Linked DNA regions of Lonchura striata. The protein of the gene in region 1 interacts with the protein of each later gene in a pairwise test. Links are inferred from orthologs where the notes say so. Each region holds a gene or a part of one and is shown in the gene's direction. Other genes may lie near its edges.

Region 1 (15,670 bases):
CACAAAGCCACATATTTAAAGAGCAAAAAAAGGAAAAACACCAACCTTTTTTTTTTGTATTACTTGTCCTAGTGACACTGTTATTTTTCCTCCCTGGTAGAGGACAAACAGAAAGCCAAAGATCTCTACTCCCTGCTCTTTTTTCTACCAGTCTTCTACCAGTCCCACTCCTAAAAGGGTTCTCCTAAAAATGTTCACTGTGTTCAAAATTATTTTTCTGATACCATTTCTAAAAGTGTTTTTACATTTTGAGTCCATATATCCTTTGACTGTGCTACATTGAAATGTGCTGGATAACTATCAACATTGAATATAGGACATGATGTAAAAGAATGTGTATATCTGAATAATAATCTTTTTTTTTCCCCAGCCCAAAAGCCAGCAGCCTGTCCTTGATGCATCTGTGTAGATAAGCTAATAAGGTTTTCCTGTCCACAGTGTGTTTAAAGCACACAGGGCAGAAATTAAAAACAAAAAGCCACCCTGCTATAATTCCACATCACTGGTGGTATGCACGCACAGCTGAATTGCAATATCCATGGTGCAGATGCTGAGACTTCATTACAGAATTGTGCATAGCACTGCCCAATAGATAAGAGCAAAACCACCCTAAACTGTAGAATTATACCCTAATCCAGAAAATTTTAAATCACCTAATTTGACATCCATGAATTGAGATAAATTATTCAGCTACATTAATTTACACACAGATGCCAGTGTTCTACGTGTTTTAAGAGAAGACACAGCAGGTGGTCATGTAACACTTAGAGGGAAGCAGGAGGATGGTAAATAAGTCTACTGAAGAGTACCCACAGCATATTTTCATGTTGGTTGTTTGTTGTGAGCTCTCCTAGAAACCTTTCTCGCCATCTGTCTCAGTTATATCATTTAACCAGTTTGCTGCTTGGTAGAATACAAAGAGTGACATTTCTTTCAGATTTTCTTTACCAGCTTCATGGTCTGTCTACTAGAAGATACAATATATGCATATGTATTTTAATATGCTTCTGCTGTTATTGTTATATCTCTGTATTCCCAAAACAGTGCAACTGCAGAGATGATTAATGCTAAATGTCATAAATATACCTAATGTGGTAATTGTCATTAAAAATCCAGAGTCCATAGGTAGACATCAGGCTGTTTCTAGCTCTCTTCAATGTTTCTGCTTACCCCTCCTCTTGTTGTTGCTTAGAGAAGCTGTGGGTGTTCCATCCCTGACAGATTTAAGGCCAGGTTGGATAGAGCTTTGAGCAAGAGCTGGTCTACTGGGAAGAGTCCCTATCCGTGGCAGGGGGGTTGGGAATAGGTGATCTTTATGGTCCCTTAAATGGTTTTGTGTCCAACCCGAACCATTCCATTATTACTTGATCCTGCCTCTTGGAATTGCCCATCTTGAAGTCTGTTTTCTCTTGGGAAGCATTGGAGAGTGAGTGGCACAGCAGTGGTCACCCCAAACACCTCACATATAACGGGAAGATATCTGCAGTGGCCAGCACTTCTTAAACTGTACAGCAGTGGTTTTACAAACAGTGATTTCTTTTGGTGTAATAGCACCTTAGGGCTTGTCTGCAGAGCCATATCATCCCTATTTTCAGAGATGAGTTTGATAAGAAGGTGGCAGCCTTCTTATCAAGTCTGAGGAAGCTCTGCAAGCAGCAAAACTGGCCTATGGAATATTTGGCCTACAAATCAAAATACATGGGAAAAAATGACAATTGAAGTAGGGATGTTACATACCAGTACTACTGACAGTAGCATTTGCTTTTCCTAAGCTGTAATGCCATCTAACTCATCACAATCTCTTAACAAGGCTGAGATTAGAAAGTTTTAGATTTGTTTCATTTTGATAAGGTGTCATCCTTTTATTAAAAGAGTGCTGTTTCTCGGTTTATATTTTTCCTCAGGAAATTAGGTCAGGTTGGCATAGCACAGCTGAAGGTAAGAGTAAAAGCCACTGCAGCAGATGTTTCATTATCATTTGGGGGATTTGTGTTTGGGTTTGGGGGAAGCAAGTCTTTCTTTTTTTAAATAGGGTAAAAATAGGGTAATGAAAATCCTTTCCAATTTTGGCTTGTTGCTAACAATGCTGCTGCTGATGATGATCTTTATATTTTTGCTTATTTTATTTCTTAAAGGAGTTCTAAGTAGGTCACAGGCTTTTAAACAACCCTTCTAGAAAAAGTTGTGCTGTGTAGTCATTTGTAGTTTTGGTTTTTTTTTAATGATTGTAATTCATGTGATGCACCCCTTCTCATACAATAGAGTAATATTCATCCACCTTGCTATTCATGAAATAAAATGTAAGGGTAGGGAAATCTGGTCTCTACAACTAGGAGATCTGCAAAGATGAGAAATTACATATTTTTTCATTAAGATCTTAAAGATTACTGTCAGAATCAGCATTCCCTATTGAAGTTCTGTTACTTCTTGTTAGTGGCAAGACTGTTTTGATTGGTGACCTCCAGGCACTTCACTCACCCTTGTATAACGCAGGTATCATTTCTTATAACAACTGTTTTCCCTGGGAAAGATTTCAGTCCCAAAGGCAGGCTTGTGTCACTTCCAGGCAGGTGTGTCCCTGCCAGGTAGTGTCAGTGTATGGCTGAGATGCTGCTTTCCTTGGGGCACTTCTGCCCAGCTGTGCAGATGCTGTTCTAGCAGAGATGGTTCCAAAGTGCTTCTCTGATGCTGCTCCCTACTGGTATCCAAAGGGGGCCTGGTGGGAAGCTGGAGAGGGACTCTTCATCAGGAACTGTAGTGATAGGACAAGGAGTAATGTGTACAAACTGAAAGATGGGAAACTTATTATAGACATTAGGAAGAAATTCTTCACTGTGTGGGTGGTGAGGCACTGGAGCAGGCTGCTCAGAGAAATTATTCATGCCTCAGCCCTGGAAGTTTTCACAGCCAGATTGGATGGGGCATTGAGCAAGCCGGTCTAGTGAGAGGTGCCCCTGACCATGGCATTTGAGTTGGAACCAGATGATCCTTAAGGTTCCTTCCAACCCTTAAAATTCTATGACTCTATGATTTGCACAACAGGGATGAACTCACTAGTGGAAGTCTCAGATCAGGACGTCAGTGCATGTCTTAATTTTTAACTTCCACTTTCTCTTTATTTAAACACTTTTTGAAGTATCATTCATGATTCCCTAATCCTGGATTGCAGGTGAGTGTAAAGGCATGAAAGGGTACTTGTCAAAAACAGGCATCTACAAGAGAACTGTTTTGTTGTGATGAGAATGTCCCCATTCCTATTCTAATGCCCATAAAAGAATATTGAGGGTTTGTGGAGAATTTTACCCTCCCTGTTTTGTCATTCAACAGTCATATATTTTCTGTATCACAGAATCACCTTGCAACTGCCCCTGCTGAACCTCACGAGCCTCCTGTCACCCCGCTTCTCCAGTTATGGGGAGGGCTCCCTAGATAACAGCACATCCATGTGGTGTGTCAGCCTCTCCTCCCACTGTGGTGTCACCTGCCAGTTTGCTGTGGGTGCCAGTCTGTCCCATCTAACTCACCAGTCAATTTGAGTAGTCTTTCTCAGATGACCCTTTGTAACAGATGCAATCCTCAAACCTGTTTTCTGGTTCAATAAGGAAAGTACAGCTAAGAATACTGACAGGATTTTACATTGAAAGTTACAACAGTGCACAGCCAAATTATTTCATCACTTCATTTTATTCCATACATTTGACAGGAGTCAGAAAGGAATGAGCTCCGTAATGACACAGGAGAAAACTCTGGCTCTACCAGACTATGTGAAAACCTGTAAAAAATGTGGGTAAGAATTATTTCAGAAAAAAAAAAAAAGGAAGAATTTAGATGACTACACCATTTGAGCTTGTATGGTGTAAACAAAGCACACAGCAATACCAATTAAGGAAAAAATTACAAAATTCCTGAGATACTTGTTCCCCTAGTTAAGCCATAGCTCTTGCCCTTTTTGCTTGTGGTCATGGGGTGTGTAAACACAGTACAATTCAGTACCAGACCAACCTCTAAAATATTTGCTTTGCCTTGACATCCCACCAAAACAGTGTCACTTGTGGACCATGAAGCAGAATATTTGGATTCTTACAGCTGTGTCCTGTTTGGCATATGTCCTGGCTGCTTAAAGGAGGATTTCAACAGTGAGAACTCTGCACTCACTCAGATGCTTCCAGGACCTGACGCTGTATTACTGTCCTGTGCCACAGAGATAAGATAGCTCAGAGTTAATATCTGTGTCTTCTTTCCAGTAGGTTCTTGGTTTGCCTTGATCTGTAATATATGCCCCTAGTTTCTATTGCTTCTGTAGCCATTTTTAGAAAAGCAAATATTACAGAACTCTTAATGTATGTAAATGCATGAGACAAAAATAGAAATAGAGAAAATTGTCAGCAAATTCATGTAAATAAGGCAAATAGCATTAGAAGATAAAAGAATGCACTTACATGAAAATGAACAAGTGCCTAGGGCAACTTGCAAGGGTGTCCTCATCATAAGATATCAAATTGTTTTTCTTATCCTTCAGTGCTGTTCAAAGGATTTTTTCCCATCTTTTTTTTTTTTTCTTTCTGCCTCTCTAAGAAATAGTTTGTTGTTAAAGAAAAAGATCATGGAGTTCAGTGGTAGATATATTTAGATTAAGAAATATTCCATTAGAATTTCCACAAAGTGAAAGATAGAACACTTTTACCTGTATGTACATATCTACATCCATATGTATATACTAATTCTTTTCTCAGTAGTATGAATGTTTTTGGGCTTTTTATTTTTTTATGATGTCAGGAAGATTAACATATATTTATAGAAAACATCAAGATTAATTATTGAAATGTATATTAACCTTCTGGCTCTGCTTTTTAGCTCCAATGGGAAAAAAACCAAAACATTCTTTTCCTGATGGTTCCATATTTATCAGGACTCAACTTCACAACCATGTTCTTACAGCTGTCTTCACTGGAAGTCTTCTAGTGCATTTTATGTGAAATAATTTGACTCTCCAGAAAGTCCCTGTCTGAATTTGTTGTAGCTAAATTCTATCTTAATCTGCTTTAACAGCAGGCTGACTGACTTTTTTGTATTATCATCTCTTTTATCATTCAGTCCATGAGACTGCTGCATCCTCAAATCTGACCCCAGGGACTCCAGTTACAATGTCCTCATGTCCTTGGCAACATCTCTCTGCACCTTCTTGGAATATTCTTAACCTTTAAAATGATAGCTCGTATCCCTGCTAACCAGGTACATAAAAATCAACAGTATTTAGCTTCCAATTGAAAATGTTCCAATTTAAATAATAAAATCATCTTTTCCCAAGGAAGGGCAACATGGCAGTCTTTCCCTGTGCCTAGGACTGGAGTTAGCAGCTGGAATGCTGGAGTCAGCATTTCATTCCACGAGAGTGAATAACATCAGATCTCCAGAGATTTCTTAGCTGACCTTCAAAACACAAAGTCTAGCTTCCAGCAAACTTAAAGTAAACATATTTCTCTAGAGATTAGGATCAAAGCACAAGAAAAACATTCTACTTCACTGTGTGGCGCTCGTACCATTACTTATTTATTGGAGCATGGATAAGTGGTGCTGGGAGTGATGAGATTTACCTTTTTTGTTGCATTTTCTAATGGTAAAAGTAGTTCTCAAAGGTTACCCATATTTTTGCCAAAAGGTTTTCAAAAAAATCTTCATTCTTTTGCATACCATTGCTGCTTCATTCCCAAACATGGTCTTTTATGATGATTCATGGTCAAACTGAAGATTTTCTGAAGAAAAGTCTTGGGCACCTTGAGCATTTTACTAGAGAAGCAGCCCAAGGACACCCTCAGGCTTTGACTCTGTTCTTGGGGTATTTTATTAAAGTTCTCAAGCAACAGCTCTCATCTGTACAACAGGATTAATAATACTTTGTTCTTATATCCATATAGGGGTTTAAGAGAATAATCACGTTGCAAATTCAGTAGTTCTGGAGTATTACAGTAGTGGGTCTTGTTTGTGCACACAGCCTGTGCTTCCTGGAACAGACTGACTTTCTGGGGGAGAAAAAGCATTAATCAAGATAGCCACGTTTTAAAGAAAATTATTTGGAATGCAGAGGTTTTGATAACTTAGAAAACCTGATTGACATTTATTAGGATAAAAAAACAGAGATGTTTCTACAGACATGGGAAGCTATTTGTTGGTGAGCTTTGTGTAACAAAAATGTGCTATAAGTAACAAAACTTTTATGAATGCCCTGTTTGGATTTTGCTGTTGCCACTTTTAGACTGAGATGAAACTCTGTCAGGAAGCAGGAGTACTGATCCAGCACGGAGGGGATCAGAAAGGTGGTTCACTTGGGGTTATCCTCCAAGGCAGTTCATAACTTTAATTCCCACTAAAAAAAATGAAAATCCTCTGAAACCCAGTTTTCAAGCCTTTTCTGTGACCTTAACTATGGAGTTAACCATAAACACTCCTTGATTGTGTCCTTAGACACCAATTCATACTTCTTCCCCAATAAAGAGCAAAATGGGCAAAACTTAACCTTGACTTTGGTCATGACTGTGATTGTGTATTAAATGAACTGAGCTCTGCCTGGTTTTATATGTCATGTTCTGTAAATGTACAAGCTGATGGATGTAATTTTCTTATATAAATGGGTTTATTTGTTACACATTCAAATCTGTTTGATCTTAAGGAAATGGAAGTCCTGATTCAAGCCCTGTTATATTATTTTTCCAAGGATATCACATAAAACACATCAGAAATATTTTTAAGAAAGCATGTTTCCCACTGATCTGGGTTCCAGATTATTTCCTTACTACACACTGTCTTGGCTGACACAAATATTAAGGGCAGTAAGAAATACCATATATCAATTCAACCCCAAAGATTTTCAATTTATAGGAACAACAAGCTTTCTAGCCAAGTCATTACTTTTGGTCTGAAATTAGTATGACAGCCGCTCTCCCTGCCCCCTTTTCACTTTTTTACTACTACATCTCCCAGAACAGATTCATAAATGCCTGGCCTTATGCGTTGGTGCTAGGGGAAACCTGCAGTAATTGCTTTTTTCTCACAGCTCAAACAACCATTTTGGTTTAGAGCTTACCAAAGCAGAAACCCAGGAAAATATTTTATGCCTTTTTAAAGCTCAACTGTAGGTATGGTTCAGGCCATCAGTGAGTGCATAAAAACAAAGTGTGAGGTTGCAACTCTAAGTGGGCTAGATGTAGGCTTTGTCATGGATAAGAACTCCCTCAAATTTTCTCTATGTTCTTATATTGTCTTCTGCATGTTCTACTTTATTCTCAGGCTCTGCATCTGGTTAAGAGAAACTAATTTGCCCTGTTATTCAAAGTGCAAAAATTTCAGCTGCCCAAAGTCACTGACACATAAATATTTTAGACCTTCTCCAGTTGTTTTCAACTCCTCTAAAATTAATGATTGCTGGTGCTGGCTGCAGATACACTCATTGAGTTTAATGAAGAGTGCAACCCAATGAGCCCAGCAGATGTTTTCGGTGTTGCTTCACTATGAACTTTCTGGTTTCTTCTTCCTTCATTTCCAAGAATCAAGACCCAATTTTAGCAAAGAGATGATGATCCAACCAGCAATAAGAAGACTGAAATAGGGCTTAAAATCCACAATTCTTAAAACATCTATTATTGCAGATCTATAAGCAGCTGAGGTTTGGATGTTTGTCCAAGCCTCTTAAGCCTGAAAAACTGAAGGATGGGAAATTCATACAACTGATTCTCAATAGATTTGTGGTATTTCCTGCACTTGTCTGGCACAGAAATATAAACTATTTCACATTATTTTGGTACTGCCAATGTGGAATCCAATATAGAAATAAAGAAAAATGTAAGAAAAACAATCTTTTCCAATAACAACAAGGAAAACTTTCTTTGAGTTCTGATTTTGTTTGACTTGCTATTTAGTTTATTTTTCTTTATATTTTACTCTTTTACTCTCCGGGAATATTTGTGTGACTTTAAAATGTCGCCAAATATTAGCAGCACAGTTGGAATAATGCAAAAAACAGTCATATATCCTGGAGCCCCTTGTCTTCCTTCCATTGGGTCAGGTAGATGTGGGGGTATTTTGAAAAGAAAGGAACGAGTAGAAGGACACGAGTATCAAGAGCAAGTCAGGAACACACTACAAAGTGCCTGCCTCTTCTCTTTGGCCTTTTAACTCTGCAGTTGGTTTCATTTCTGAATTATTGCTTCTATCTCCATTACCCAATTTCTGGATGAAGTATATCTCAGGATCCAGTACATAATGCTCATAATGCCAGTAGTTTTATGTAGGGAATGTGAAGTTGGCTTCATTTTCAGGTGTCTGGCCTGAAACAGCGTTAGAATAAGCTGAAGCAGCCCTCTTGCTCCTCATCATGTAAGTGATACAATTCACAGTATATGTTGTTAAAGGCTACCATTTTGTTGTTGAACAAGCCAGCATTAAGAAATCCAGGGCACTGCAAATGACCAGGAAATGCCTGTCTTTCACAGGTAATGCAGCATTACTTAGTATTTGAGCAAGCATTATGCACTGAATTACACGACTTTTCCATCTTTTGCAGATCACGTGGAGGGTCCCAGCAGGATGACCAGCAGCCACACAGATTGTCATTTCTGCCTGCAGTCCCTCCGTGGCAGGAAATATGCACTAAGAGAAGAAAATGCTTACTGTGTTCCGTGCTATGACAGCCTGTATGCCAACCCCTGCCAGGAGTGCAAGCAGCTCATTGAGTGCAACTCCAAGGTAAAGATTTGGCTTGAACTTTTTGTTCCTTGTTAAATTATACACAAATCAAATTTCTTTAATGGTAGATTTGATATCCACCCCTTTTCATATCCCTGTATTGCTGAAGAGACCTAGCCATAGCTGTTGTACATCCACACACAGCAGTGAAACAGTGCTATTTTCCATGAAAAAGGAAAGCTCTGGGATCAAAGATGAGGAAATCTGCACATGCATATGCCCCAGGTTTACAGCAAGGCTGTGGTGGGTGTGTGGACCTCAGCTAAGCTCCATCCTTCACCTCCAGTCACTCATTGGCTGCAGGGGCTGCACAGTGCTGGAGGGGTGATAGGGTGGATGGTGCAATTCAGTGTATCAGGTTGATTGACACCTCAGAATTTCTGAGACATGTTCATTGAATAAATGTTTTGAGCATTGAATAAATTACTTTTACTGTAGGTGTTGACAAGCAGATGCCAAGCTTAGAAGACAACGTTTATAATTTGCATATTCTCTCTCTCTCTTTTGGAAATAAAGTATTTTTTAATTTCTGCTAAATTCCATGCTTACCTTGCTCATCTCACAGATGGTATATTAGTGGCAGTGTTTCTGCTGCCTGTCTTTCACCTCTCAGTTTTTTACAATATTAATTAATAATTCAAGCTCTTCTGTGGTTTTTGACAGGGTTTCTAGTACCCCATACTTCAATATAGAGGACATACACTTGACATTGAATTTTAAGGTCAAATGAAACCTATCAAAAATCATTTATTTTGCCAAGTTCAGTGTGTACTGGTCACCTTCTCCCCATGCTTTCTTTGCCTATGTTCCTTAGAAATAAAAGGACAGAAATATATTAAAATAAACATATTGGAAGGCTTTCCCAGCCCAAGCACTTCAAAGCACATAGTCTACATCCAGGAATCATCTAAGGAAAATGCTGATTTGGTTGAAGACACTCCTCAAACTCTCATCAGCATTTCACCCACAGCAACACTGTACACGTAGCAGCAGTCAGATTCACCAGGAGAACACATGCTTTGAGTTCACTTAATTTCATCTTTAAAATTAAAAATTAAATAAGTGACAGGATTACTCTTGTTGAGGATCATAAACAAAAAGCCATGTCTTTGGACTGAATGGAAGGGAAAAATGAGAGGAAAAAGCAGACGTGTAAGAAAGGAGTGCACCTGGCTAGAGACATCTAGAAAAGTGGCACACAGAGATCTACAGCTGATTGTCTCACCTCTGCCAAGGGGTTAGAGCTTGGTTTTCTTCCTCTCCTCCTCACTCAGTCTTTGCCTCAGGCTGCTCTGGGCTGACAGCCGAGTTCCTGCAAGGTTCAGAGTGCTAACGAAAGCAAATGCAACTGGTAAATGCTCAGCACCTCCTGAAGTGAAGCATGGTATTTCTTTTATTTTTAGCTCTTTAAAAGGCAGGGACATGATCAAGGAGAACAATGAGATTGGATTTGTGCCCTTTCATGTTTCTTACTTATAAAAGAGTCCTGGAAGGGTTTGTTTTTTAAGCTGGGAGGGTTTTTTGGAGGTGCATTTTTCCCTGTCTTTTCTAACGGTGGGGAAATTAAATCTGCTGTTTGGTCTTTTTTTTTTTTTTTTTGAGTTCTTAGTCAGGATCTCATATATATACTGTTAGCTCTTTCATCCCTTAAGCCCACTGACTCTTAAACAAACATTTTTCTGCCAAGTTTTCAGGGGGATTTATATCAGATGTATCAGATATATCAAAAGGAATTTTTTTTAATCTTGCTAATAATTATTTTGTTCTCAATAAGATTTTAATTGCTTGATTTCTGACATAACAGCATTCTGTCATGTCAGCTGGAAGTAGTAACACTGAAAATATTAATTTCAAATTCTATAGAATATGGACTTCCTCTCCAGTGGTCTGTGCACATTAAAAATGTTGATCACTCGTTTCCCCTTAAAAGACAACTGTAATATATAATGTTGTTTTTCCAATACAAACATACCTCTGTGTTACATAAGGAAGGACATTCTGTCAAAGAAGCTCCTAATGGCATCTGCAAGAGATCCACACAACAATGTGACACTGAGTACCTGCCTCTTCCCTGAGCACACTTCTGGCTGGGTCCGCCCCTGCGATGCTCTTCCTTTCTTGTTTTAGTTCTGGAAGGAATTGAAGGATAAAACCACTGTAAATAAATATTCTCACTAACATGGACTTACTTTCTCCAAGGATCTGGCCTACAAAGGCCGCCACTGGCATGAGGGGTGCTTCAGGTGTGCCAAGTGCAGTCGCTCACTCGTGGAGAAACCCTTTGCTGCCAAGGACGAGGTCTTGCTGTGCACCGAGTGCTACTCTGATGAGTACTCATCCAAGTGTTTTCACTGCCAGAAGACCATTATGCCTGGTAAGACAACAGGGGCCCTTTGCTGAGAAATGGAACCACATTTTTAATGATAACCACCTCCTGGAATAACCAAGTTACAAGACCCTTGACTTTCAGAACAGCTTGGAGGAGACTACTCTTCCTTTGTGTGGAATTCTCCCAGCAGTGGGGAGAAGGCAGGCAGACACTTCTGATCACTAACAGGTCTTATGAATCCTTTTAAAAATATTAAGAGTTCAATGCAGGGTAAAATGTGTCCATGTGATGTCCTTGATTCTGTTGCAGTTCTTAGGAAGCATATCCCACTGTGAGCATAAGCAGACAAACAGAGCTATTGTGAGCAGAAGTGCCAGATTAGATAAATCATCTGCATGTTTCCCACATTGACCAGACCCTGTGTTTGTGTTCTTTATCCTAGTGCTTTCACTCAGAAATATTTTTTTGTTTAAATTGTCAAAACATGACAATTTGCTTTCAGATCATTAGCAGCATTTTTACTAAAATGAATACAAGTCCATTTTACAATATTGTCCATGTTTGCAATAGGCTTACTTCCTGTCATTAGCAATCTTGAAAATTCTGCACATTCCACTAAACTGCTTCTCAGCTTCTGATTGTGTCTGTTCAGGACATGCTCTAGACTTTTCATTGTTACCACATCAGTAAAGCTCATGAAGCAGAGTGACTACACAAAAGCTGCCTCTTCACAGGCACCTGAGAGAAGCCACAGCACCATTTGTTGCAAAAAGAAGCTGATTGCTTAGGAAAGTGTGTCCATAACGTTTGAAACAGAGAACATTGGTAAATTTTGCAGTTAGAATTTTATTTTTCAGTATTTCTTAATGCTGAACAGTAAGATTCAGGCTGTGCAAAATTATAGTTTTACTACTGGTACTAGATTACTCAGGTTGTATACAATCTGTAACACTAGTTTGTATTTTTACAGTTTGTTTCTTTTTCATTACAAGTAAAACCTGCATTAGTGGAAACAAATATTTTAACAATATAATTGTGTTCATTTTAAGCATTATAAACTACTTGAATAGTATATGGTTTACAAAAATGTTGTCAAATAGGCATACCCCACTAGATGTGGTCAAAAAGGTGCCAGAATACACTCAGGTTTGTATTATTATCTTCTGGTGTATATCCATGCTTCTTGTTTTGTCACAGAGTCTAAATCCTTGCAGCAAGTGCCTGAAGGTGTGAGAAACAGTGCAACAGTGGCATGGGAATGCCAGCCTGTCTCAGTATCATTAACTTCCTTCTCATCAGTTTGCTAGCTCTGAGTTGTGAAGGACAGTGAAATTGTCCTTCTGATCACTGGGATGAAAGTGTAAACCTTTTGTATCTAAATACAGCCAGTAGTTTCTCCACTGGCCCCACTTTTCAGGAAACAGGTACAGTGGAACTCATCAGTTATAGCAGCAGTCTTCTTCATGTGGAAAGGATGGTAAAGCACCTTGCACCTCTAAGTTCAGTCTGATGCTACTCACAGATAAGAAATTAAGGATGGAGATCCACTGGAAATATTTCTCCCAGATATATGTGCGTAACAGACTTGTGTTTCTATATGAAGATAGGACACCTACATACAGTGATAAAAGCTCTAAAACTCCTCTGACAAACATTTAACTGAGCAACTTTCTGTTCTTGTGCTGTATCAAAAGCATCTAGTTAAATATTATAAAAAGAATTGTTGGTCTAGGACAGAAATGGTGAGCTATAGGAGAAGGCAGTAATGTGCAATAATGTGCAGTAATGTGCAGTAATGTGCAGTATCACAGAAAAAAATATTTCTTTTTAGAAAGTTGCCAATTTAAGCTGATTAAGATAAATAATGCATTTATAAGTAAAGGAGCCTTAATTTAAGAAAGAGAGAAGATAGGACAATAATAAATATACTAAACATCCAACAAGTTAATCTCTAATTTATAAAAGTGCTGTGTACTGAACATTATCACTGAGTTGGCTGCTTTAAGAGAAACTGAGTAATTCAAGCATATCACAAAGAAACCCCAAAAGATTCTTATAATAACAGACTCTAAAAATCACAGCTTAGGCAATTCAGCCTATCTTTTGCCAGATGAATATATGGCACTGGATGTGTTCTTGAAATTTCAAGTGCATTCTTCAAAGCACTATTACATTGAAATTTACTGTTTTCTTGGGTAATCCAATGCTGAGGTAGAAGGTTCAAAACCAAGAGCATTCCCAACATTTAAAACTTATATTACAAGGCTATATCTGAGAGGATTGTTCACTGTGGTTTTTTTCAGGTTCACGTAAAATGGAATTTAAGGGAAGTTCCTGGCATGAATCCTGTTTTGTTTGCCAGTATTGTCAGCAACCATTGGGAACAAAACCATTAATCACCAAAGACAATGAGAATTACTGTGTGCCCTGTTTTGAGAAGCAATTTGCTCACCATTGCTATGCTTGCAAAAAGGTAATTAAACACGCAATACAAAAAATGCCCTAATGAGGCAATATTGCTCATGGGAGAAAGGGCCGGATTATGTGAAATATGTGGTGAACTAAGAGTAATATCGGAATCTTCCCATTGACACTGGACACTGAAAGGCAACTGTGACAGTGTCTGCTGTTCACTCTTGTTAATCTAAGATCGATTATATCTGCCAAAACAAATGCTTTGGGCTATTGATTATTAGTTATTGATTGTGACTTTTAGAAAAGATTAAATGGAAAGTTATACATAACCCTTCTTTCTTGAAAATACCTGATTTTGCCTTTGTAAACATGCCTCTCTTTCCATAATTTTTCAGATTTATTCATATGCATAATTAGCCACCTCAAATGAGCAAATCATCCACAATCTTGACTATTTTTTCTTGAAATATATCAGGCAATTAGCAGATCAAGTAACATTCAATTGTGATAACACTAATCAGGAGTTCCACTGATGCAATATGTGATGATACCTTTATGGGCACCAGAAAACTTGATTTGATTTCTTTATTCTCCCAAGTACAGATAAATCAGTTCTTCCCTCCCTTGACTTCTCATGTTTTAAGATTGCCTGTTGTTGATGAAAAGCATCATACTATTCAAGTGTGATACTTTTCTCTAGAGAAATGTTTTAAGCTGTTTTTAGGGCAGAATTTTATTTATTCTTTAGTACCTGCATTACTCTGGAAGTTATTTTTTTTTCTGCTTCATCAAATTTCCTATAGTTATGTAATTACCTGCAAACCTTTACCTCTAACAAAATCTTTTAATTTCAGGAAAATATTCTGCCTACTTTTTCTTTCAGTAGTTAAACTTTAGAAAGTACTTTTATATATTCCCATGTATAATTCCTATAATTATAGGAATTATATTCCTATAATTTCCTATAGTTATGTCATGATTACCTGCAAACCTTTACCTCTAACAAAAGCTTTTAATTTCAGGAAAATATCCTGCCTACTTTTTCCTTCAGTAGTTAAACTTTAGAAAGTACTTTTATATATTCCCATGTCTCTACATCCAGGCTTTAACTTGCATTAAATGAACACATGGCAATTATAGTAATTATGCTTGATGTTTATTACAGGCATTGATGTTAGCACTTCCTACATGAAATAATCAGGATTTGCTTCTTATAATTTCTAGGAATACAAATAGTCCCTCTACATAACAGCTAAAACCATTTTTTTTCTGAAACTTGCATCTATTCCCATACATGAGAATTGAGCCCAAATAGATTAAATTGCCAAAATGAATCTTGAATTTTTGTCAGTGATTTTTAGATTTTAATGGAAAAGTAAAGGTAACCACAAAATAGCCCAAAACTGGAACGTTAAAGGGATTGGAAACTGTTTAAATCTCTTTATTGCTTGATCCTATATTATTCTTGATTTTCCTGAAACTGTATTCCCCAGGGAAATTTGATGATACCACTATTTTTACTTAAGTTTCTTCAATTTCTTTCTCCTATTTCAACAGTATTCATTCATTCATTCATTCACTCATTAATTAATTTCCTGTCATGCATGTGACTTGATAGTAGAAACACTATCTTACAGCTCACCTTTATAGAAATTTCTCTGTAGTCTCTCACAAATTCTGTGAAACCAGCTCTTTACCACACATATGGGAGCCACAGAACAACTGGAAATTTCCCTCTTCAGAAATAACCAGTGCAGAGCTGTAAGTGTGTTGCTGGAAAACAGAAGTTGATGACACTGATAAACATGATTTTTTTCTTCTTCTGACTGTGTAGATCTCTGTTCTATTTTACTTCTGTTTCCTTACTGTCTTTCTTCCTATTTAAAATACTGTTGCACTTGAGAGACAGAAAAATACTGGTGGGAGATTAACTATTATCTCAGCATCAGTTCTCTTACCCACTATCATTGAGAATTTATTTTCTCAGAGCATGCCTGATTCTAATCTAATCTAATCTAATCTTATCTACAGTATAATAGAAAAAATTAAAGATAATATATTTATTACAAATTATGAGGTTATACTGAGGTCGAAAATTGAAAATAACAAACAAGTAGCATATGGACTTCAACTGCAGTATAGTTAAATGGATAATCCAGATGAAAAAAGTTAACCACCCTCTCTTCT
Region 2 (15,670 bases), on another chromosome or scaffold:
TAGCATTTGATGAAAGATATATCCTTTTCAGAGAAATATGTTCTTTAGGCATTTATCTGTATCACTGGTAGATTAAGAACTAGCAATTCTTGACATGAAAGAAATACAGAAATTCTCTCATATAAATACATTCCAAATAGCCTGACAATCTTCTGTTATACTCTTCCATTTAGTTATTTTTCACTTGTACTTCTTCCTTCCCTTTATAGCTCCCAGACACCTTTATGTCCATTTATTCAGCAGCTTTTGCTTTTCATTTTATATTCTGCATTCTTGCTCTTCACTGTCATTTACAACCATTTACCACCAACAAAACAACCTGCTCCCCCATCAAAAACAACCTACAGTTGCTAGAAAATCTAGTCTACAGCCATTGTGTTAACCAAATTAAAATTATTTTTTAATATATATTTTTTCACTTAATATTTTGAATAAATATGAACCCTTTGTATATGTTTGCCTTTTACTGCATAATCTGAATGTTTGATGTCACTCACATTTGTGTGAGGTAGTTCCTCAATGTCCTATTAGTGTTGGCCACATTCCTGCACTGGCTTACTCTGCCTTACAGGGTACATCTTTTTCAAGGCACAAGTGTATGTCAACTGTTTGGGATATCCATATTCCTGTGGCACAGTGTACTCACAGTCAACAACAAACTCTTCTTTGTGTGCTTTTTTTAACACAGCCTATTCACAAAACTTTTAACAGTAAAGTTTTATGTATTTAAATTTTAAATACAACTCAAACAGTTATTGGGAAATTTAATATTCATGCTATAAATACAAAATAGTGCTTTATACAAATCTGGTACTTTTCACCTGAAATGTTCAAAGATCTCTACAAAGGACAATAAATTGTAAATGGTTATGAATACTGTGAAGTACTTGTTATATACATGTTATGAGGAAGGTGTTATATAAGTAAAATTTATTGTTCAGCACAGGAAACAAAATTTTCATGTAGTAGATCTAAGTTAGCATTATTTTTTTCTGCTGCAACAAAAATATCATTATGCATATATCTTGAAGTCACCAGTCAATCCTTTAAATATTTCAGATACTTTACATTGTTCCCTAGTAAGAATATTATTTTCCCATTATAATGATTTCTCTCATGAAATGAATATGCAACAAATGAATATGTAGCAATTTATACAATGTCAAGTTATTTGCCAAACGATAAGTTTCTCCCTTGTTTTGTTTGTTCTGGCTCTAGCATGTGGGGGGACCTGACCTAGGACTGGTAGATTAGGAAACAGTCTGAATCCTGTCAGTTCTCCTCATGACTTACAAACACCATACCAGGTATCTAAGTACACATTCACAAATCTTTTTAGCCATTTGTGTTGTTGTTCAAGCAGTGATTAATGAAGTGATCGCAGTTTAGCTGCTAGTGTACTCCGATTTGCTTTGCTAAGTTTTAATGCATCAATAAGCACCTCCTTTCAAACTGCAGAACATACCAGACAGTAGTATATGACTTGGGAAACCTGTTCTGTATTTATAAGTTTCATATTACAAATCCTAAAAAAGTAAAAAAAAAAAAAAAACCAAACAAACAAAACAAACACAAACAAACCATGTTAAAATGGTTAAAATGTTGTATTTCATTTTTGGAGTGTAAAATATTATCACATTACTGCAACTTATTATCCAAAATTAAATCATTACAAACCCAAGAAAATCAAAGTAACAATAATTTAAAAAATGGACCTGGAATACTATTTGATATCCCCTTCACCAATAATAATGTCCAACCCTTCCAAATAAAGAAAGCCTAGTGTTTACATGGCATAAGGCAAACTAGATCTAGCTGAGGTACTGCAAAGCCTCACAGCTGTTAGGCCAGGCTTCTCACTAAGCCAGACCTAGGACTCCTCAAGGCTATTCCTTCCTGTGCTTCTGGCTTATGCAACCCACAAAAGTCAAGGCAGTGCCTTAGCACAGCACTAATTTAGGCAGTATTGATTTTCAGAGGTTCCAGTGATGGCAGTAGCAAATAATAACAATAAAAGGATCATCAATTTGCTCTTGTACTACACGTACTAGTCAGTTTTATTTCCAACTTGACAGTTTAGGAAAGGAGGCATTACAAAATACTTATAATTCTACAGATGTGTAATTAAAAAAAAAAAACTATATACATTCAAAAAAATACTTACAAACCTTTTACCTTTTACAATATTGTTCAATGTTTGCCTTTGGAAGGGTGTGCCATTTCTGTTCCTATTTGTTACCTAATGGAAGTCCATATTTTTCTTGCATTGCTAGGAGTTTAGAAGAGAAAAGAATAGGTAAAATAAATTATTAGTCTTGTATTTTATACTCATTAAAATGTACTTCTTGCCAGATCTGTTCTCTTTCAGACTGATCAGAATTCTGTTGCAGCATGCAGGTATTGTCTACTTCTGACTTTCATCACATTCACAAAATAAATTGTGAAAACAGTGTCTATGTGTTTACTGCACTTTCCTGTGACTACTCTGCAAGTTCTGCACTTGTCCCTCTATTTCCTTGCAGGCAATGAAAGAGTAGAGGTAGGGTTATTCAACGATCAGCTGAAATTGGAGTGGTCCATGAGGAGACTTGTGGTGAAATTATTCATCAGTAAGTATCAGTATTATTTCAAATAGGATACCAGTCTATTTTTTCTGTCAGTTTTACCTCTATTATCTTCAGATGTCTGGATTCTAATTAAAGAGAAATTGACAACTAAGCTAGGTAGCATATCCATTTTGCTGTAGTTGTTTATGCCAAGACAATCCATGAACTTTTTAACAAACTAAATAGGCATTTCATAAGATTAGAGCTGAAATGTACAAAATTCTTTCAATCCCCTTAAAAAATCTATTTAAAAGGTAACTGTGAGATTCATATGTAGAATCAGCTGTCTGAAAATTACAGAGATAGCACTCCTACTGATGTAATGTGCATTGGTGAAATATATATGTTCTCTGCAAAGAGCACCATGTTTCTTTTTGGTTCCAAAAGAAGTTGCTACAACTCCCTGTTCATCTATAACCCTCCCTGGTTAGGGTAGTACTTCTCTCTGTGTGATGGTGCAGTGGGGATCAGACTTAAGAATTGTTCCAGGTTGAAAGAAACTTAATGGCTCTGCCCACTGAAGTTTTAAAAAAAATTAAAAAAAGCAATGGACATTTCGAGATAGAGAGAAAAGATTATTCAGGTGGTCATTCTGACAGCAGCAAAGAGCCTGGATTTCAAGTTTATGTTCTTACATAAACGACGAAAATCACAACAAATCCTGACTTGTTTGGCCTTCTAATGGATTGCTTTTGGTCTCAGCACTTGAAATTAAAAGGGTTCACATCAGGCATTGATCCCAATTTAAAGAGAACTGGTTTTAGTAGAAGTGAGCACTTTCGTGGCACAGGTGGGTCTGGCCTCAGGTAACAAACATGGTACCCCAGCCCTGCTGTGGTAGGAACACAAGTCCCTTTTCATTCTCTTCCTCTTCCAGCCTGACAACTTCGGCGAGCTGCATCAAGAGCCAAATCTGGTTAGTCATCCTTGTATCACCAAGGTCTAAGGCCCTCTGGCAGTTCACTTATGCTTCTGACACACTTAATTACGAGAGAAGTGGTATAAATAGTAATAAATTCTTAGTTAAACATTTCAAAGTGTTTATGGCTTACTTGAAAACTAATAAAAAATAACTGCTCGTCCAAATCCAGGCCCTAAGAGTTCATGGAAATTCTCATTTTGTTTACAGGTAACTCACTCCAGTGGTTTCCATTATTTAACACTTCATTTGAAATTTCTTCCTGTTTGTCTTAAGACTTCTACCTTCAAAAATATTTGCTTCTAATATCATAAGAGCCATTTTTGGCTTTTTGAATACACAAGGCAAAACTGGAATTTCTTCCAAAGGTTTCAGCAGAGTAATTCTCAGTAGTTTAACACTTGTCTGTTCATTTGATTATCTTGCTATTCTAACAAATATTATTAATTGACAAGAGAAAACATATATTTTAATGAATGAGCATAACAATAGTGTACGTAATGGATTAGATCTTAAAGCAGAATTACGGGAAGAGAAACTCCTATTTAAAAACCCAGAACAGACACATAACATATAAACAAAAAACAAGGGAGGGAAACAGAATTCAAAACAGGAAGGGGGTGTTCAATATTTCAACAAAGGAAATGTAGGATAAAAACTGAAAACTTGTACAAGCAATAGTGGTGATTGAAGATTCTGTATTTTTTCCACTAGATTGTGATTTTGATAGCTGTGTTAACTCCTGTGAAGGAAATTAAAGAACTAAATGCTTAAAGGTAAGACCTTTGCAAATAAGTATGAGTCATCTCTTACGAAGTCAGAGATAAGAATTATTTGGTTTTTTTAAAAACACAGGAAACCAATACGCAGGTTCTCTCCGTGCCATGAATAAGACTGAGTGTTTGACCTGCATGGACCTATCACCAATCCTGACACACACATCCTCCAATTCTTTAATCATGAGTTATGTGAAATTAACTTAGGTTTTTCATGTTTATTTAGCACACTGAGTATATTCCTACAGTAAAAAAAAAAATAACCTAAACCATAAAAATAGGTAAATGCATTACATAACTTCAGAATATATGTGCAGTGATGTGTGCAATTTAAAATTAATTGCAGTATAATCCCTTGTAACACTACTTTGTAAAATACTGATCAGCAATAAACATGCGATGTTCAATCACCCATAGTAACAAAGTTTATGGCTTACGCATTTATTGCATTTGAACATTATTAGCCCTGAGCCGACGGGCCCTGCGCTTCCGGCAAAGGACGTGCTCACACCTTCAGCACAAACCCAGCATGACTCAGGGTATTTGGGCGTAATCCCGCGGCAGCGAGCGGGGAAACACGCACGTCGCTCCCGCTTGTTGCCTCTTGGCAACTTCTGATTTACTTAGCCAAATAAATGTAAAAGAACTATGTCATACTATGAATGACTGATGTAAGGACCGTGCTTTTACTAATTACAAAACAACCTGCGGGGAGCATCTCGGCGGGGCGGCCTCTGGGCAGGTTTCCGTGTCCGTCAGGGCTCCGGCACCGCCCAGGGAACAACCGGGGGTTGTGCCTCCTCCCCTCCCTAGGCCAGCGCGGGGACGGCCGGGGCTGGACCCTGCGATGGAGCCCAGCCAACCGCCCTTATCGGCGGGCCCGGCCGGCGCGGGGAGCAGCGGGCACCGCCCCGCTATCGCACGCCCGGAGCGCGGCGCGGGGAGCCGGCGGGCCCGCGGCCGCCGCGGCTGTTACCGGCCGCCCCCGCCCCCGGCGGCGCGGGGCCGCCCCGCCCGCACCGCGGCCCGCCCCGGCCAATGGGCGGCGCCGGCGGGGCCCCGCGGCGGCGGTTGGTCAGCGCCGCGGCCGTTGCGCCCCGCGGCCGCCCGGCACCGCCGCCCGCCCGCGCGCGGCTCCGCCTCCCGCCGTGGCCGCTGGCGCTGGGAGGCCCCGCAGACGCCATTTCCTCGGCGCCCCCGCGGCGGCGCGGCTGCATCAGCGCTGACGTGAGGCCGACGTGCGGCTCCGCCCGGCCCGATCCCCCCCACCCCCTGTGACGGGGGCAGCACGTACAGGGCGGCGGGTGAGTGCGGGAGGGGGCGGGGACACGTGTGCGCGCAGCCCGACCCCCTGCGGGCCGGGAGCGGGGCAGCGCGGAGGGCAGCGGGCGGCGCGGCGGGCAGGGACGGGACGGGACGGGCAGGCGGGGGGCGCTGTGCCGCGCTTGGCGCAGCCCCGCCGCGGGAGCGCGCGGGAGGCGGCGGGGGCGCGTCCCCGCCGGCAGCCGGGGGCGCGCTGCGCTCAGGGACGGCGGCGCAGAGCCCGCACGGCGCTGTGGGGCTGCCCCGGGGCGGCTGCGCGGAGCGCCGGCTCCGGTACCGCCCGGCAGCCGCGGCGCTCGCCGGGCTCCGGCAGGCGGTGGCTCCAGAGCTTGCTCGGGACGCCGGCTCGGCTCGCCCGGCGTTGCGGCTCGGAGCGGGGTCAGCGCCTGCCCGCGGCGGGCAGAGCGCCCCGACCGGCCCGTCCTGGGGTCTGCGCGGGGCTGCCCCGGCCGAGGGCAGCGGCGGTGCCCGGTGGCTTTTGTGCCTTAGTCCGTTACTCGCGGTTATCGCCTTGCCCGTAGAGCGTTCGGAGCTGGGTCAGAACAAGTGGGGAGGGATCACAGTGGGCTTCGTGAGTTCGAAGTCTTGCTTGAAGCTTTTATCTGCATCCCCCACTGCTGTGACAGCATCATTTTTGGTGCTGAGTGCAGCCGCTGTTAAGTGGTTCCAGGGACTGATGCTTGACGGATGCTCTGGCTTACCCCGGCTGGGCCCCTCTGAAGGGGCCGCGTGTCCGCTCGCAGCCGGCTCTGCGCTGCATTGGCAGCGTGGTTGAGGCGGCAGGCGCCGAGTGGCCGAGTAGCATTGCCTGTGCTCAGAGTAATGTTGGGGTTTTAAGATTTTTGGGGAAGAAAATAGGGAAATAAGACTGTAGGAGACACAAGAACCTTAGTGATGAAGCTTCTGTTGATACTGAAAACTTTCAGACCCAGCAGTTTGCAGACAGTGCACTGTGGTGCTGCTGCACATTTTACTTGACTGAATTCTGTGATCACCTTATCAGCTGGTGTTCTTCATGCTACCAGCATGGTAAAACTGTTATTACAGAGTTGATAGAAAACACAGTGCTCTTCTGAAACCAGTGTATTCTGAGAGTTTCCATACTAACTGTGGGGTCAGCAATAAATGCAAAACAGGTGTTTGTACATTCGCATTCTTGATTTCTAGTAACTCCCCTGTGAATAAAGGCCTTCAAAGAGATTTGGAGCAAGGCTGAAACATATTTTTTTAGCCCCTTACGATTGATTTCCTATGTATCAAACCACATTTGTAAATGTAAACAGTCCCTGATGTATAAAGGATGATTGAAATAAAAAAGTTGTTTTTAAAAATGTCTGTGGGTATTTATTCAGACAGTCACACACTTCCAGTTATGCAAAATACTGTAGCAATGTGCTTTTGCAGTATAATTTCACCAATAGACCTTAAATATTATGTTGATATGCAGTGATGTAAAACAAACAGCAGTACAGGGAGGCGTGAAAGGATTTCTTGTGCTCTTTATTGCAAAAGAACATAGCTTGCTAGGGATGCTAGCCTTCATCTCTTACCTATGGGCAAAAATACAAAGAATTCACACCTTTAGCTGTAAATTACTCAAAATTTTCTAGGAAAAATTTTCTCTTTTCCTGTAGCTGATTCCATCTGTCAGATTTCTCCTGTCAGGGGTGGTTCATCTCGCAGTTGAATAAGCTTTTGATGTGTACTGTATGCATCATCTTAATCAGTGTTTATCTGCTACTGATCACTGCCCTGCTGTCCATTAGTCTCAGTGACTACAGTAAAGATGTGCTTAGGTATATTGAAATGTTGCTGGTTTGGTAACAGTTAAACCTCCTGCCAGATCCTGAAGATCTTTTTGCAATGTTGTAGGAAGAAGCAAAGATCTTTGCTTCATTATGGAAAACCATTTTTTCCCCCTTTTTATGTGTGTGCAGAGGTATAACTTATTTATTAATTTAAAAATCTAGACTAGTATTTTAAATTATTGTTCAGTCTTTGTAAGTAACTAAGATTGAAAATGTAAGAAAAAGATGTATTAATAATGAGTATAAGACTAAAACTTGTATATAATTAGTCATACAATGAAGAAAAACATTATAATGTTAAACAGGACCCAAGACCACTTACTTTGAACTATTTGCTTAGTTTTCCTTTAAAAATAGAAGGAAGGTTATGTCAACTTTTAAGTGTGATGTGTACTGCTACTGATAGACTTTTATAAAGGATTTTAGAGGCTTTGCGGAAAATTTGGTTTTTCTTTCTTGGAAACTTAATAGCAATGAATGTGTTAATATCTGCTTACAATGAAGACTGATTGAGTGTGGTATGTGTGGAAACTGTTTTCTGAATTGGATTAGTAACAGTTTCATGCCACAGTCTGTATTACTGACATTTTAGAAACAGCATAATTATAGTATTGCTCGGTATTTTTTCTGTGTATATATTAAAAAGTTTGATGTATTCATGTTGACATGATACATAGTACAGGAAATAAAAACCCTGTACAGTTCAGGTTATCTCTGAAGACAATGACAAGCTCATCTGAAATGCAGGAGTTCCTTGGCTTGGTCTTAAGCTGTGTACAAGCCCATATAAACTGCACAGCTGAGTGTGACTGTGCCACCACTGACCCTGTGGGCTCAAATGACTGCAGCTGACCAGCTCCTGCCAGGCCAGCGATCCCATGGCTGTGTCTGTCAAAGATTCCTGTCTTGTATCATGTCTGAATTGTGACACTAATGTGCTAGTTTGTCTTAAATCATCATTCTCACTGAAGTTTTATGCCAAGATAGCTCATGTATCTTTTAGAATTACTCATATACTTTTTTTTTTTATTTTGTTTTGTTTTTTTTTTTTTTTTTTGTTTTTATTTTAAGGCTGTGATTGGATCTTTATATTTGGATGTTGTTTCAAGTCAAGTCTCTGTTTGGTCACAGAGGTTGTCAAAAAGAAAAGTATTTTGCTATGTTTCACAGTAGTGATTGCATTTTTATGGCAGTCACATTTTCAGACTTTACTCCACCCTGCTAAAGTTCTCAATTAAGCAATCATTTGTATTAGGAGTCAGAATATACACAATTATAGATGGAAAATCTATATAAATTCTGGAGTTTTCCGTGTATATCAAAAATCTTAATTATGTTTTTCACTCCACTGACATGTACAGTTCTTGCTGTTGTTTTTCTAATTAAAGATAAATAATAAAAAAATACCCCTTTCTCTGTACTGCATTCCCCAAAGTACGAGGAATAACTTTGTTAGATTTTCTGCTGCACTGATGTTGTTTTTGTAGCTTTTTGCTAACTTAGTTAATGCAGCACTGCAGATGAAAAGTCTCGGGGAGAAAAATCCTGATAAAGTAGTAGAAATAGATACATTTTTATACTGTTCTGTAATCAGTGAGAAATTAAGCTAAAAATCAGGAACTAAATTTTTTCCAAGATGAAAAATATCACTTTCAGGGTAAAAATTCTATGAAATGCATTCAGTGGGAATAAAAGTACTTGTTTTTTTGTTCTTATTTGGTTTTGGGTGGATTTTTTGTTTTGGTTTTTTTTTTTTTTGTTTTTGGTTTTTTTTTCTGTTTTCTGTGACAGATGGCTCTGGATACAAAAAATAGTTCAGGGCCTTCATAAAGTGAATTAATTCTGGCTATATTCCCATCTTTAGGAAGAGATTACAATGAATATGTTGCCGGTACATAGGCATTATTTATTCTTGGTGTGTGAGCTGTTCTGAAGCGTATTCTTACTAGAACCCCATGGACCTTTCATATTTGAGACTTTTTTTCCCTACTTTATTATTGTTATTATATTGCACATATATAAAACCAGCATAGTTTTATTAGGTAATATCTTATAGAAAATTATGATTAAAAGCTTGGTGAAAAGCTTGGTAAAAACATTTTCCTCAGAGCTGTTAGACTTTGGTGAATTTCAGTAGACATTTCATTAGATTGTATCTAAACAAAAAGGTAATTAGTGGCAACTTGCAAGAGAAAATGTAGAAAGATTTTAGGTGTAAAATAGCTCCATATAATTCTAATCTGAATTGATACTGGCATAGGGTATGTAACTTCTCTGAGCAGAAATACTCACGTTAACCCATAAAATGGTGAATTGTTTTGCAGCTTTGTTACTAATAGCTATAGTACTGTTAAGTCTGGTCAGTAGAGTACCATTTGAGGCATATGAGCTACAAATATGCTTCTTTGCATCATTTTACTGGGTATGTTTTCATATTTTCATGCCTTTATTTTGGGCACAAATTTGATTTCTAAAAAAGTAATAAAAAGTGTTCTCTTCAAAGATTGTGGAATGTTCTGTAAAATAGTGCCACAAAAGGAGTTTGGTTACATTTAATTTCTTTAATGTAGTTAACTTATAACAGGCACTAAATTCCAGAGCCCTCAGAGTGAGGTGGGCAGCAGTGCCTGCCTGCCTCTTGCATCTCTCAGTGCAAGTCCTGAGAAGAAACCAAAGTAATTATCAGCCAGCTGAAATTATTGAACTTTGACCTCAGGCTTGTCATCCCCTAGTTGCAGAACCTGAACCTGGGGAACTGAGATTTGCTGCCTGTTAAATCTCACAACTAATATCATGTCTCCCTTTTGAGGCTGTCAATTGGTTGTGTAAGTAGGGTGTAGGTGGGAGCGTGCCTGCAGGGCATCCTGCCTGCCTCTGCCTGACCCTATCCTGTCTCTCCTCTGTTTGTAAACTGACCTGTTGCCATGGCAATGTTTGACATCACCTGTTCAATGTTGCACCTTCAGTGCAGGGTTTGGTAGGAGAGAAAGGGAGCCGAAGAGATCCAAGCTCTTGTTTTAAATCTCACACCTTCCGTTATGACTAAGTGTGCCAAGAAATATCGAAAAGGAACTGTCAGGTAATTGCATTTTTATATAGCAGATATGTAGCAAATTTGGAAGTTCTTGCTATGAAGTTTAAACTCTTAGTTTACATTGAGGATCAGCAAGTTCTTAGTTTTCAATGCAATCTATCCTACTTTAAACCTGTAAAGTGAGAAGAATTGTTGTGGCTCTTGAGCCATGAGTAGTTTACAGACAATTCAAGTGTAGATGACAACAGGGAGTAGGCATCTTGGAAGTGTAAGAGGGCTGTAGCAGCCCATGAGGCTGAAGGGACCTTCTGTGGGCAGCACTGCATGGGACCCTGGCACTCTGCTTGTCCCTCCCCTGAGAACCATCTCCAGAGCTGCCTCTCCCTACAGCTTTCCAAAATACTTGTTTGAGAGCTCCTGGATATATTTTAGTACAGAGGAATGAAGAAAAGACTTCGTTTTGACAGATACATATTTATTTTCTGTCTGCATTAAATATAAAATAGTTTGGAGTTACTCTCCCTAGCTGCCTGATATACCTCCCTGTACTGAGTTATTTAAATGTGTATGTACTTGCTTTTAGACTGATGACCATGGAAATGGTTGAACAGGATGACAGTGCAGCGGATTCTCTGACAGAGAGACGTGCTGGTCCCCTTCAGAATCAGCCAGGCCAGAATCAGATTTCCTCAGGATCTGAGGTAAGTTGAAATGTGGAAAGATGAGAAGAATCAATGAAGTGATATTCAGAACTGCTATGATTTTTAAACTATAAATCTTTGTGGTATTCTCATGTTTTATCTTGATATTAAATAGGAAAAATAAAGCAAAGATTTACCGGAAACTATGCCTTCAGTAGTTAACAAAGGACTAATATGACATCAGGTCTGTTGAAAGGTAACATTTTTAGGAGCCCTTTCAGACAAGAGTGGTCAGTAAACAAACGGGTTTTTTCATTTTACTTCCACAAGGTGATTTTTAAAAGATGAGCTACAGTCTTTAAGAATTGAGGTGGCTACAAGATCAAACTTCATTCACACAAGACTAAACTTCATTTGTGTATCTAGAAGATGTGTTCTATAACAAAAATGAAAACATGAATAAAAATATCTGTAGTTCTCTTCCTAGTTCCAGTTTTTGTACAGAATGTATTTCATCTAGTTGCAGTTACTCTTTTAATGTGTCCTTGTTTTGTTTCATTCCTGTGTATCCAATGAGAGTGTCTGGACTTCTAAAAGCATACTTTACATGTTTTCTATAGTTGCTCTACCTGGATTATTGTTTGGTAGTGAATGGATAAAAGATTATGTAGTAACAATTCTCAAGCATTAAAAATATGTATTGTAATAGTCAGCACTTGAGAGAAATAGTGTTCCTGACAGTACTAAGATTTATAGCTTCAGAAAAGTGTATGGACCACTTAAAAGGATTTTCAAAAGCCCTTTTTTAAATAAAATAACTGATTTTCAAAAATGTCTTACAGACTTTTTTCATCATTGTAAGTTTGAAGTTACTTGTTAAGACTTGATGCCACATATTTATGTTAGATACTTGATTTACATTATAGATACATTTTTAAAACTGAAGACAGCTGCTCTTTTGTCAGATCTTCAGACAAAAAGTAGACCACAAAATATTTATCAACCTTTTTTTGTTGGTTTTGATGCATGCAGCATTGGGAATATTGTTTGTTTTTTTTTCTTTAAGGAATTTATTTGGTTTGCTCTGTTGGTGTCATCCCCTCATTTCTTCTTTAGTGGTTCTGTTCAAATTTTCATATGATGAATGATGTGTAAAATCTATTGGCTTGTGCAATAGCCTCTGCAGGAGACATCTGTGAATTCTGTCACTTGGGTTTTTTAGAGTTGATCCAGGGACAAAGGTGTCACTAATGCTGTAGGAGAGTTTTTGCACTCCTATATTGTGCAATGTATAACACTTTCTATGTTTGTCTGCATTTAACACTTGAATTCTGTGTGTGAAGGTTCAGCTGTACAGGGAATGGGCCTCACGCCTTCCAGTTAAAATGAGTAACTCTGAAGTATTGATGACTCTCCTTCAATTAACACTGAACCAAGAGGTGTAGCTCAGTTTGAAGGCTGAGTGTTACAGCCTGGAGTGGAGTAGTGGAGTCCCTGTTTGTGTCTGGATGGCTCAGAGAGGCGTCCTGGAGGCGTCCTGGAGCCGTCCTGGAGCCGTCCTGTCCCGCTGCTTGGCGCAGGAGCTGCCGTCCCCTCCCGGGCACGCGGCGCAGCGCTCCGGGCCTGTGCCCATGGCCTCGGCCGCTGGCTCCCAGCCCTGCAGCCCTCATATGCCCTCAGTGCCTTCAGGCTGCTCTGCCACAGCACTTGCTGGGTGGAACTGCCAGACAGAGCACTTACTGCTGACAGGCCTTTTGAGACGCTCCTGTGGCTTACGATGAGTAGGATTTTCTTAGCCTGTGTTCCTGCCTGGCTGGCTTGGAAGGTGAGGCGCTTTGTCATGGAGAGTTGGGCCTGGGTGTTGAGGAGTTAAAGCCCGCTGGAGGCCCTCTAGGAGACATCTGACTGATTTTGTGGTGGTCCAGATGGGAAATTTGTGTGTTTCTGAGGATTTCATGGCTGTGCCTGTGTATTTTGACTGTAACATAGGAGCGCAGATCCCATCTCCCTCTTTGGCCTGTTGAGGAGTGCACAAGAGAAGACAACCACTATAACTGACTGAAACATCTTATGTTAGCTTCCAGTCATCCCTCTTACTATTTCTGTTGCAAATATGCAGAAATAGTAGAAAAGAATGACTTGATTCTTACTGAGAGCAAAAATGCCTGATCACTGAAACTGAGAGCTCCTTTTCAAGTATATCCAAGGGAGTGGGGAGATGGCAGCTTTATTTGTGGTTTTTTTTTTAGCAAAATATTTGTTCAGCCTTGGCTTTGGTCAGTCAGAAGTAAAACGTTTTGATACACTGTGTTTTAATTTGTGGTTTTCTGTGCATTATCAAAGAATGAATTGTAGAAGCATCAAGCTTGGGAGGAACTTTTTAAGATTATCTAGTCTGACCTGCCTGTGCAAGCAGTGTCAGCCAGAAGTCTCTCTGCCTGGAATGTAAATATCCCCAAGGATGGAGTCTCTAGAGCCTCCCTGGCCATCTGTACCAGCAGGTGACTGCCCTTCCAGTAAACATGTGGAGTTTTAATGTCCAGATAGAATGTAATGGTTTTTAATGTGCTTGATATTTAATTGAATTATGACTTTGGCCAGGGACTGACTAGCAAAATGCTGAGAGATACTACACAGGAGATGGGCACTTTTTTCTTCTTCCTGGGGGGTAGCTGACTTATTTTCCCCTCCTCTGTAGGCTTTTTAAAGAAATACCTGCCATTTAGTTTTAAAAGGCTGGACCAGGTACTTCATAAGATGATAATCTTTAGAGAGCAGAGATTGTTTTGTGCTGAAGCATTTTTAATGTATCCCCTACTGGGAGAGAGAGGAGACATTAAGAACGTGTGGGCTGGAGACTATGGTGTGATGGGATGACCTCCAATGCTAAGAAGGATGTATTATACATTATTTGTAGAGGAAAAAATAGCGTTTGCATTTTTTTCTTAGTTTGGGTCATAGATATTGCTGTATTCTCCTGCATTTTTTTTTGCTGCTGAAAGTAAAATTACTTGTTCTACTAAAGCAAAAATGAGTAAGTTTGAAACTAGTGAAGATGAGATGCACTTTTTGTCCATTAAATGCTTATTTTTTAAGTAAAATGTCCTACTATAGAATCAGTTTATAGTTGCATTTCTTGCATCTGTCGCTGTTAGCCAGTTGATTAATTGACATGGTAATATTGTTGTGATCCAGCTACCAGAATAAATAGGTAAGAAAGTAAAATCATTTGTGGCTGTCTTTAGAAGCTGTTGAAAATGTGCTGAACACCTGTACAAAAGCTTGATGCCTTTGAGGGAAGAGCAGAGGTGTGAGATGGAAAATTTCTTAACCAGTTTTGAGATGAGCTCCATGAGTTGTCTCAATTGCACAGATCATTTGTTCCTACATATAGAGCTGTACTTACGAAGAAGTTAACTTGTATTGGAATATTTTGATAGTGTTGATGATAGTCAAACTTACGTCTCCGAAGACTTAAATCTGCAATTGTATTCAAAGAGAAATTAGATGTTCCTTTTGCAGGTTTTCTAGAAGCCATGCTGCATTCTGTGTTGCTGCTCTGTGCTCAGATACACTGAATGTAACTGTAACAATGCAAGATCAATGTGCTTTATCCCTTCTCAGATTTGATAAAAACACTTTTAGTTGTCTTTTCTTTTTTCTTCAATCTGCATCTTGATGGGCTCCTCTTTGATTCACTTTTTGTTAATGTTGTCATGTTGTCTATCGTTAGGGCTGTCTGCTGACCTTGTCTGAGATACCGTCTGTTGACCTCTTGCTGCTGGCCTTGAATAGACCTATGTCAGGATTTACAATGTGAGAACTGCTGTCACAGAGCATAGGGAGATTTTCAGTGAGATTTTCAGAGCCTGGAGTGCATAGCTATTGCAAGCTGGGACCATTCAAGTTCAGTAATTTGGGGTGTTGTCCTTGTGGGCTCTTGACATCAGTGTTAAATGTTGCTCTCTAGAGATTGAGACTTATGGGAGTTTGATAGGCTGTTTTAAGTAAGGCTCTAAAATCAGCCTGCCACATGCAAATGCTGGCAATTTAGCAAAGTTGGTGTTCGAGGATTTTAAGTGTCCAGCTGTGTCACTATTTTGTGCTTCCTTGAAGCGTATGGTGGCATCAAATGTCTGGAGTCAGCCTAACCTTATTTTCCTTAAAGGTAGGTACTGCTGTTTTGGCAGTGTCTTTGATATTGATCAAAACATCTGTCTCCAGCTTTTCCTCATAGAGGCTACTCAGTGCCCAAGTGTGGCAGGTCCTTTGATCCTTTATTAGGTGAATCCAGTGTGGATTTGCCTTGACTTTTCCAGAATTGCTTTTCACTTTACTTCTAGAGTTCCTTGTAGTATTTAGAGTCTGCAGCAGGGGCAGAAATCAGTTGGGCCTGTGTCCTGCATTCTTCATTTGGCAATGTTGAAGGCATGAGGGGTTGACTGTGAAGGTAGTCTCTCTAGTACTTGGCAGGGAAGGGATATCTGACATTCACAGGATATCCAGGATAACTGTACAGATGGACCACGTATCTTGAAGTTACATAAATGATGGGCAGCCTCT

Evidence for each region.
Region 2: the proteins of FHL5 (region 1) and CREM interact in a two-hybrid assay, tested with the Homo sapiens proteins (2 studies listed by BioGRID). The link is inferred for Lonchura striata from reciprocal best matches to the Homo sapiens genes FHL5 and CREM.

What each region holds. Positions count from the first base shown.
Region 1 is NC_134605.1:75,230,691-75,246,360, reverse strand, and holds the start of FHL5 (four and a half LIM domains protein 5), read left to right. Parts: upstream 1-8,568; 5' UTR 8,569-8,580; coding exon 8,581-8,739; intron 8,740-10,938; coding exon 10,939-11,113; intron 11,114-13,371; coding exon 13,372-13,541; intron 13,542-15,670. UniProt on the Homo sapiens protein: May be involved in the regulation of spermatogenesis. Stimulates CREM transcriptional activity in a phosphorylation-independent manner.
Region 2 is NC_134603.1:143,821,648-143,837,317, forward strand, and holds the start of CREM (cAMP-responsive element modulator), read left to right. Parts: upstream 1-5,428; 5' UTR 5,429-5,605; intron 5,606-11,049; 5' UTR 11,050-11,053; coding exon 11,054-11,167; intron 11,168-15,670.